2 linked regions of the Coturnix japonica genome follow. The protein of the gene in region 2 binds, or shares a complex with, the protein of the main gene of each other region. Links are inferred from orthologs where the notes say so. Each region holds a gene or a part of one and is shown on either strand. Other genes may lie near its edges.

Region 1 (4,154 bases), on a different chromosome or scaffold from region 2:
TCAAAGGCATTCTACTGATTGAAAGCTGAAAGACCTTTAGAGAGCAAAATCTTCCTACGTTAAAAGTACAAAACTGAAAAACAAAATAGATAGCAAAAGATTTAAAAAATAAATAAACAGATTCTGAGATTGTAGCACGAATTCTGCCATTCTACGTTTTTGTCAGCTCACAAAACACCAAAGATGAGGCTTTTGTCAGGAAACTTATGAACCTGCGAATCTAATGCAGAACTGCCCGCCTGTACTTTCAACAGCTGAAATACAGTCATCTACTCTTCCCTGGAATCATCTTTAAAATTACATTTTCAAAAATTACCTTTCCCTTTCCTGCAACTCAATTACACTTCCCCATCAGCAAACGGAACTATTTTCTATTTTACAGGCATCATGAAGCTCAGTTCATTAGTGCCCGCTACCATCTGAGTTCCCTGAAAAGGTTGCCATAGATGTCAAGTAGTACATCGTCACACAAGCATCAAATAGATAGGACCCCACTTAGCTAAGGTACCCGATAAGAACAAGGTGTGCGACTGTAAACAGCAGCATTTTATGTGGTTACACTGTGTTCCAGACAAAGACCTGACTTCCAACAAATGTAAACAGCCAAAGTCTATTTGCCTAAAATCTCGCTGGAAGATTCTCAGTAACATTAAGGCAATTTCTTCTTCTCCTTCCTAAAAAAAGCATCTTGGATGAAATAAAATAAACCATGCTTGAGATATGCAGACAGTTTTGTACCGGTAGTGCCAGAAGTATTGTTAGCTTTACAAATGTCATCTACAGCAGCTGTAACTCTAGGTATAATTAAACTCTTAGAAGAAACTTAAGTAGCCACTTCTGAATTTGTGCTGGCGTCCATTTGCAATGAAACTTTGTAATTAACATACATCCAATTTATTTTGAAGGATGTAATTCTGCTGTGTGGCAAGTAAGACTGATTTCCTCATGATCTTTCTTTTCGCTCTCTAGAAATTGTCTTTTTTATTAATGGTGATCTCAACTGGGCCCATTTTCACTCCCAACAGTGAGAAGTCATGCTGCTGACCTGTGCTCCTGTTCATGAACAGACAATTCCGGAAATACCTTTAACATACGTGTTTATTAATAACGTTCATCAGTCATGGCAAGACATCTAGGTCTGACTGAGGGATTATTCTTGAAAACGAAGGAGATAATTTATTCACACAAAGAAGGCACCAGTCTTTTGACACAGTAATAACTACAGGAAGTCTCACAAAAGTTTGCATATTATTGTTAATGATATAGAAGGACTGTGTATCACTGTGAAATAATTAAATAAATTTAAAAAAAAGCCTTAAGCACAAGCTGAAAACCCAAGAAGACAACCAAGTTGAACACGTCTGCCATTGCACCTCAAAGAGAAATGCAAAGGGCAAGACGTGGGAAATGAAAACCACAACTACTGCCAGAACCAGCTTAGTCCAGTTGTTACACAACTACCCTGATCCTAAAGCCAATGATCAGTGACTTGGAGGTTTGTATGTAAGAGGAATACCATGTAGATAACTCTGAAAGTAATGCCTCCTATTTATTTCCATGGAAACTTCGACAGACACAAAGCGCACATTACCACTCAGCTGATAGAGCAGATTCTCCACTCTAAAAGACTGTTTTTCAACACAGTCATCACCATGAGCTGTGCATTTTTGCCTGCAATAAACAAGAGCCTGCATGCCACACTGCTAACAATTTGCACCAAAGGAGGTGACTCACTGCTGAAACACACTACCCACCGCTCAGCTGCACTCTCACCTGCTATTTGGTTTGCAGAAACGTTCAGCAAACAGCAGTGAATGACAGTGGGTGCCATTTTTTCTACATGGAGGAATTCAGTGATGTATGTATGCTTACTGAACAGCAAAGCTCAGAAATGCTTTGCAGCCATGGCAGTATTTAGTGCGTTGGCCACGCAGGGATCCTCCTGCAGGTGACAATCACAGAATCACAGAATTATCCGGGTTGGAAGGGACCTCAAGGATCATGTAGTTCCAACCCCCTGCCTGGCAGGGCCACCAAACATACTAACTTTACTAGATCAGGTTGCCCAGGGCCCCGTCCAACCTGGTCTTGAACACCTCCAAGGACGGGGCATCCACAACCTCCCTGGGCAGCCTGTTCCAGGGCCTCACCACTCTCCTAGTGAAGAACTTCCCCCTGACATCCAACCTAAATCTTCCCTCTTTTAACTTAAAACCATTTCCCCGTGTCCTGCTATTATCAGCCCTTTCGAAGAGTTTACTCCTCTCCTGGGAGTAAGTTCCCTTCAGGTATTGAAAGGCTGCAATGAGGTCACCCCGCAACCTTCTCTTCTCTAGGCTGAACAAGACAAGCTGCTGCCGACACTTTTCCTCCTCCCTCACCTCACCAACATGAAGGAAAGCCCTGTAGGCCCCGCCGCCAAATAAAAGCAGCACAGACGACGAGGAAGCTGCAGGAGCTGGAAGCCTCCGCTCTCCTCACGCTGCCGGCCCGGACAGGCTCCCCCGGTTTGGAACGGCAGAAGGCCTCATGTACTACCCAAAAAGGGAAACGAGAGAGCCCAGACGCAGACCTGCCAGCACGGAGGAGGCAGGGCAGGCCGAAAGCGAGGGGGGAAGGCGGCCCAGAGCTCGGAGCCTAAAGAAAGACGAGTAAAAAGAAGAAGAAAACGCAGCGACCCCAACTTAGCCGCCGCTCGTGGTACCTCGTCCTGCCCCAGGCCCAGCCGCTCCTTCCGCACCGTCCGAAATTCCCGCACTGCCCGCAGCTCTCCAGCGACCCGCCCGCCCCACCGCCCACATCCCAGTATCGCTCATGTCCATTGGATACAGCCGCTCTGCCGGTCCGCCCCTCCTGGAACGCGGGACATGATGGGAGGTGCAGTCCCTGAGCTCGCTCTCCAAGAGCTGTCTTTACACAGTGTGTTCAGCACGAGATTCCTTTGAAAGCTTACGCTAAATTGGGAATAATAGAAATCTACACTAGGCATCCTGCAGATATTTAAGGATCCGAGCTATTCTGAATGCTGCTGAATCTTACTTCACCCAAAAGACTGCTCAGAAGAAGTGGAACATGCTCCCACATGAACCTGGAGAAGATTGAGATAGGACCTTAAAACTTAATACTATCTGGTTAATACCAGACTACTGGGGTCATAAAAAACATTTCAAGTTGCCAATATGGAAAACAGAGTGAGAAATTTAATTAATATTCAAATTCTACACACTAATCCCGTTTTAATTTAATATGATTTAGTTGCTCTTAGTTCCAAAACAAAATTATCTGAACTGCAGAGAAAAGATGATCTTCAGAATGACATTCTGAAAACGGTCTTGAGAACAAGGCCGTAGAGACTTAAAGTAATGTTATAAATGCTATCCCATCTAAAGTTGGTACAGAAAACTTTCTCACATAAAGAGAGAAGCCCAGACCTCTGATTTTAGTCTGTTTGGCCTGAAAAATCAATTCAGTTTCAAGCAAAAGTTACATATATGATACACAAATCCTGTTTCTTTTCCTCAGAGCAGAGACTTTTCTTGTATTATCCTTCTGTACACTAAGGGTTGGGCTTTTGTTTAGCCAGTGTGAATGCATCTGCTTTAATACTGCTATAGCAGGAGATTCAAGAGTTAACTACATCCCACAACTCTTCTTGGATGACCACTGCATACTATTAATTTTTTGACAAGATTTCAGAAAAAGCAGGTATTGACCAAACTATCAAAACATTGTATGGGTTTCTCATTATCATGTAATGTGTAGTAAGTGGATTCCTGGAATGCACTGACTGCAACTTTCAAACATGCTTTTAAAATTATCTTAGATTTGGTAATTGTGTTCGATTCTCCTCCGCAGAAAGGATGTTCAATCTTTTCAATTAAAGATCTCTAATCTTAAACAAAACGAGTAATCCAATATATGTGTGCACTACAAGTATAGCAGTTAAGGGTTTGAATGCTGCCTTAGAGTAGCGTTAAATACCCTATATACATATCGCACTATATTATTCAAGCAGTTGGATACTTTAGCTATGAAAGATAAAGAATCACATCTCCAATATAGTTCTACAAGAATGTCTGAAATGATAGAGATCGAACTACAGCATGAATCCTTCTAAGCTGGCATCTCATAAAATAAACTGGTTAACTTTGAAA
Region 2 (4,239 bases):
CAGCCTTTTTCCTAATATCCAACCTGAACCTCTCCTGTTACAATGTGAGCCCAAGTTACACCCTAGACTTGTTCTAATACTTTTCTAGTGGAAACACTGAGCAATTAAAATCTCAGTAGTTCAATTCAGGCTGAAATGGGGTCTGGTTTCTTCACAGGTGTAGACTTTTGCCACTCAGCACTGAGGATAACAGACACTTAGTGCATCTCAAGATGTCGTTCAAAACAACTGAGTCATGATGTAGGCCTATAATCTCAGTCCCATGTTACCACACCTTGAGCTATGCCAGAAATTCAGTTTCACTCATAAACATTCATGTTGGGCCCAGGAATGCCATTCCCAGCACTAGTTCACACAGCTCCGTGTGCCACATCAATCCAAGGGGCAAGGCGAGCAGTATCTCTGCTTTGTCTCTTGACACTGCAAAACCCAAAGATATTTGGGCCCTTGAATTTCCTTTGTCCCCTACAGGATGATTTCTGATTTGGCAGACTGCTAAAAAACCACCAAGAAATGCCTGTTTTTCTCTTTTTGCTCTAGGACTGATACTGTCCTCTCTTCAAAAATGAGATGGATTCGAGACACCAGATCTGTCGTAACTGGCACTTGCACATCAGCTGGGACACTCTGTGACTGCTTTACATGATGTTCTCATACTTCGAAGGGACTCGAGTCAGCAGCTGTTGAAGATGCTCAGGGTGTGTGTCCCAGCAGAATGCCCTGCATCGTGCCTTCCAAAGCCACCCAGAGGGCTCTTCGGACTCTGTGCAGTGGGAGGGGGAGAAGTTGTGTGTTCTCAATCTCAGCTCAAACTCAAAGATTCCCCTTTTGCCTTCACCCCTGCGGCTCACTCATCCAAGAGCACCGTGGTGTTGGGTTTTTGCAGCTCACAGGAGCAGTGGTGCAGGTGGCCTTTAGCATGTACCCTGCAGCCTGTGGCTCTGTGTAGGTGCAGGGTTTTTACCTGCAGCTCTGGGGAAGCAGCCCAGAGTTGGCACGAACGGAGGTGGTGCCAAGCCTATAATATAATTCCAACAAACAAATTGTTTTACTTCTTTCTTTCTTTCTTTCTTTCTGTCCATTTTTAATAGTAACCACCACGTTGTGTTCCGAGGCCCCTCCACCTCCTGCTCTCTCTCCCCGCTCTCAGCACATAGCGGTGCCTTCAGTCTCTTGGAGGTTCTCCTGCCTCTCAGGACTCGCACTGTCGGGGCACACACACTCGGAGCAGCGACACACTCAGCGCTCCCTTCGTTCCGTGCCCCGTCCCGCAGCGCTCCCCGCCCCGCCCCGCCTCACCCAGGCCACTTTCTTTACCGAGTCCCCGCTCCCCTTCCCCTCCATCCCCTCCATCCCCTCCATCCCCCCCCCAAACCGGAGCGCGGAGCCCCGCAGCGCTCAGCCCGACTCACCGCGGTTCCCTCCCGGCCGCGCTCTGCCCCCGGCGCCGAGCTCTGAGCTGCCGCCTCGTTTCGCTTCGCCTCCCCCTCCGCCGCCGCCCGCCCCAGCCCCAGCCCCAGCAGAGGAAATATTGCAATGTTGCAAGCTGACGTAAGGACATTACAAGGAAAGGGCTACATTTCGGAGTGTTTATGAAAAGCCTCGGTACTGTACTGTCACCAGGGGGCATGCAATAGAATGCATTTCGCCAAACATTTTGAATAATAATCATTTAACAACAACAACAACAAAAAAAGCCCCGGTCCGGTCGGCGCTCGCGGAGCCGGAGGAACCATGCAGCCAAACTTTGCGAAGCCCTTTCTTATTTTTCTGACATTGCTCGCTCGCCCTTGAGGAGCCGTAATTGCATTATCTGATTTTTTTTTTTCTTTTTTCCCCCCTTCTTTCTCCCCCTTCCCCCCCCCCCACCTCCCCCCCCTTTTTCCCGCTCCGTCTCTCGACATCGCAAATTCGCTCGCGTTTCGGAAGGAGCAGCCGCCAAAGCTACCGAGCGGCAGGAGCCGCCGCCAGCCCCGCTCGCCTCTCCGCGAGTCCGGTGTTGTTTTGAAGGGAGCTAACATGGCGACGGTGCCCGTCTATTGCATCTGTAGGCTGCCCTACGACGTAACCCGCTTCATGATCGAGTGCGATGCCTGCAAGGACTGGTTTCACGGCAGGTAACACAAAGAGATCGGGCCTTTTCCCCCCTTTCGCCGCGGTCTCCCCCTCCTCCTCCTCCTCCTCTCGCTCGGTGCCTTTCGCCTCCTTTTCTCTCCAGGGCAGAGCGCGGCGATGGTGCCGTTGGAGCCGCCGCCGTGTGCAGTTTTCCAACAGGCCTTTTTGGAGAGGAGGAGGAGGAGCCACTCTGCCCCCGTCTCTCTCTCCCTCCGCGTTGTATTTTTTTTTTGTTTTGTTTTGTAAATTTGCCTTCAATTCCCCGCACAAAGCTCCCCCCCCCCACCCCCCCCTTCCTCCCCGGGGCTCCGGTGTCATTGGGGTGATGGTGGTTATGGATGGGGGGGGGGGGACATTGTGCTTCTTTCCTCGGGGCGAGCGCCGTGGGGTGCGCGGAGCGGAGCGCGGACCGTGCCGCCGGCTGCCGGCTGTATGAGCCCGGCTATGGGGCCGCTCCGCCGGTCGGGAGAGGTCGGGCCGCGTCCCGCAACCTCCCGTTACGGACACGGAGCGGAGGGGAGAGGGCTCAGCGTCCCGGGTCTCGGCCGCGCTGTCAGCGGGCTCCACGCCCGGAGCTCCGGGCCGGGCGAGCCTCACCCTCTCGGGGATCTCACCCCCCCCTACGAGCCCCGCCGCCGCGCTCCACGGCCCTGTCGGGGCAGCCGGGTGTTTCCCGTCTGACAGGGCTGCCATCTCCGGGCCGGCCCTGCGGCTTTAACCCTTAACGGGGCGGCGGGGCGGGGCGCGGAACGGGCGGAGGGGAAACGCGGGGCCGCGGAGGCTCCGCAGGGCGAGGGGAAGCCCCTCCGAGCCGGGAGCCGATGGGGGCGGGAGGGGAGGGAGAGAGCCGGCCCTGAGGCGGGGCGGCGGCGGCGGCGGCCGTGCGGGGAAAACCCCGGCAGCACCGAGCCCGCCCCGCTCCGCACGGCCCCCGCCTCGTAGGGAAGCGGAGAAGGAGGGGCTCCATGCGTTGCCCCCCGCCCCGCAGCCGCCGAAGGGCCCCGCGATGCCGCCGGGGGAGTTTGTTTAGGGCGGACAAAGGAGGACTTCGGCCCTAGATTCATTTCGCCCTAAAGCTTTGTCATGGAAAGCGAGAGCGGGCGGGCTGTTGTGCGGGAGACAATGGCAGAGCGGGCGCACTTGAGTTAATGCTGCGTGAAACTGAACTTCGGGGTTGTTGGTTATTCGGTTTTGTTTCTTTTTTCTCCTTCCTCCTCTGCTCGAGGTGAGGAAGTTGGGGAGGGACTCGAGGATTGAGCGCCCAGCTTTGCTGTGAGATGTGAGCTGGAAGCGATGCTGGTTGTACCCGAGCAGGACAGTGATGTGCCAGCATCTGCCGTGTGTCCCGGGGATGGTGCTGGGCTCTGCGGTGAGGCTGTGAGGCTGTCAGGGGATCTGACCTACAGAGGGGGCAAAGGGCCTGTGCTCAGCCCAAAAGTAGCCCCCAGAGGTGGGTTTTACAGTGAGCAAAACCGAGGCGACCGTTCTCCAAGGGAACCTTAAATTATTGGGGAAGCGAGGTGGCTGATGGAGTAAGAAACCACCTGTATCTGTCCCTGTTTGATTTGCTCGGTACTGTATGAGCCAATAAATCATCAGCTCAATATAGACATCGGGATTTGGTCATGGAGAGTTGTCTCTTTCCTGGGTGCTCAAAGCACTGTTGGTGTTAATACCTGTATAGGTACTGTACTGTAACTAAAGTGACTGAGTGTGCAAAGCTCTGAGCTCTCACAGAGGTTTGCCCACTTAAAACACACACACAGCACATTGCAGGGAAAAATAATAAAGCTGTTCCTGTTTCAGTTCTATAGAAGCAGATCAGGGGTTTCGTGCTTCCTCCCTGACAGTAGCTTCCAGATATTCCAGCACCTGCTTCTACAGGGTTCTGTTCACACAGCAGCTGTGGTCCCCATCCCTCCTAATGCTGGCTGACATCTCTGTGGCACTTCAACAGTCCTGATGGTACATTTGTATGATTCAAAGGTGAAAAATAAGTTAAATTTGCTCAGTGCCACTTAGAAGCTGCAAGCAGAGCTAAGCTGTCACCACAGTTGGAAAGTGACCACACTGCAATGTGTCCTGAAGGAGTGCTGGGAGGGCCAGGCCGGGTTGTTGGGGCCT

What was found. The genes of interacting proteins can lie anywhere in the genome.
Region 1: the proteins of PHF2 (region 2) and VRK1 are in contact, whole or in part, in a crystal structure (PDB 8F8Y), measured with the Homo sapiens proteins. The link is inferred for Coturnix japonica from reciprocal best matches to the Homo sapiens genes PHF2 and VRK1. Residues at the interface, in NP_005383.3 of Homo sapiens: Tyr7, Tyr14, Val16, Thr17, Arg18, Phe19, Met20, Ile21, Glu22, Trp29, Glu39, Ala42, Ile45, Asp46, Tyr48, Lys64, Tyr145, Ser147, Glu150, Lys175, Val178, Asp179, Tyr182, Ser183, Thr184; in NP_003375.1 of Homo sapiens: Pro2, Arg3, Val4, Lys5, Ala6, Ala7, Gln8.

What each region holds. Positions count from the first base shown.
Region 1 is NC_029520.1:42,292,090-42,296,243, reverse strand, and holds the start of VRK1 (serine/threonine-protein kinase VRK1), read right to left. Parts: upstream 2,801-4,154; 5' UTR 2,705-2,800; intron 1,943-2,704; exon of another isoform or gene 1,774-1,942; intron 1-1,773. UniProt on the Homo sapiens protein: Serine/threonine kinase involved in the regulation of key cellular processes including the cell cycle, nuclear condensation, transcription regulation, and DNA damage response.
Region 2 is NC_029527.1:4,437,615-4,441,853, reverse strand, and holds the start of PHF2 (lysine-specific demethylase PHF2), read left to right. Parts: upstream 1-1,434; 5' UTR 1,435-1,536; coding exon 1,537-1,551; exon of another isoform or gene 1,552-1,605; intron 1,606-1,929; coding exon 1,930-2,117; intron 2,118-4,239. UniProt on the Homo sapiens protein: Lysine demethylase that demethylates both histones and non-histone proteins. Enzymatically inactive by itself, and becomes active following phosphorylation by PKA: forms a complex with ARID5B and mediates demethylation of methylated ARID5B.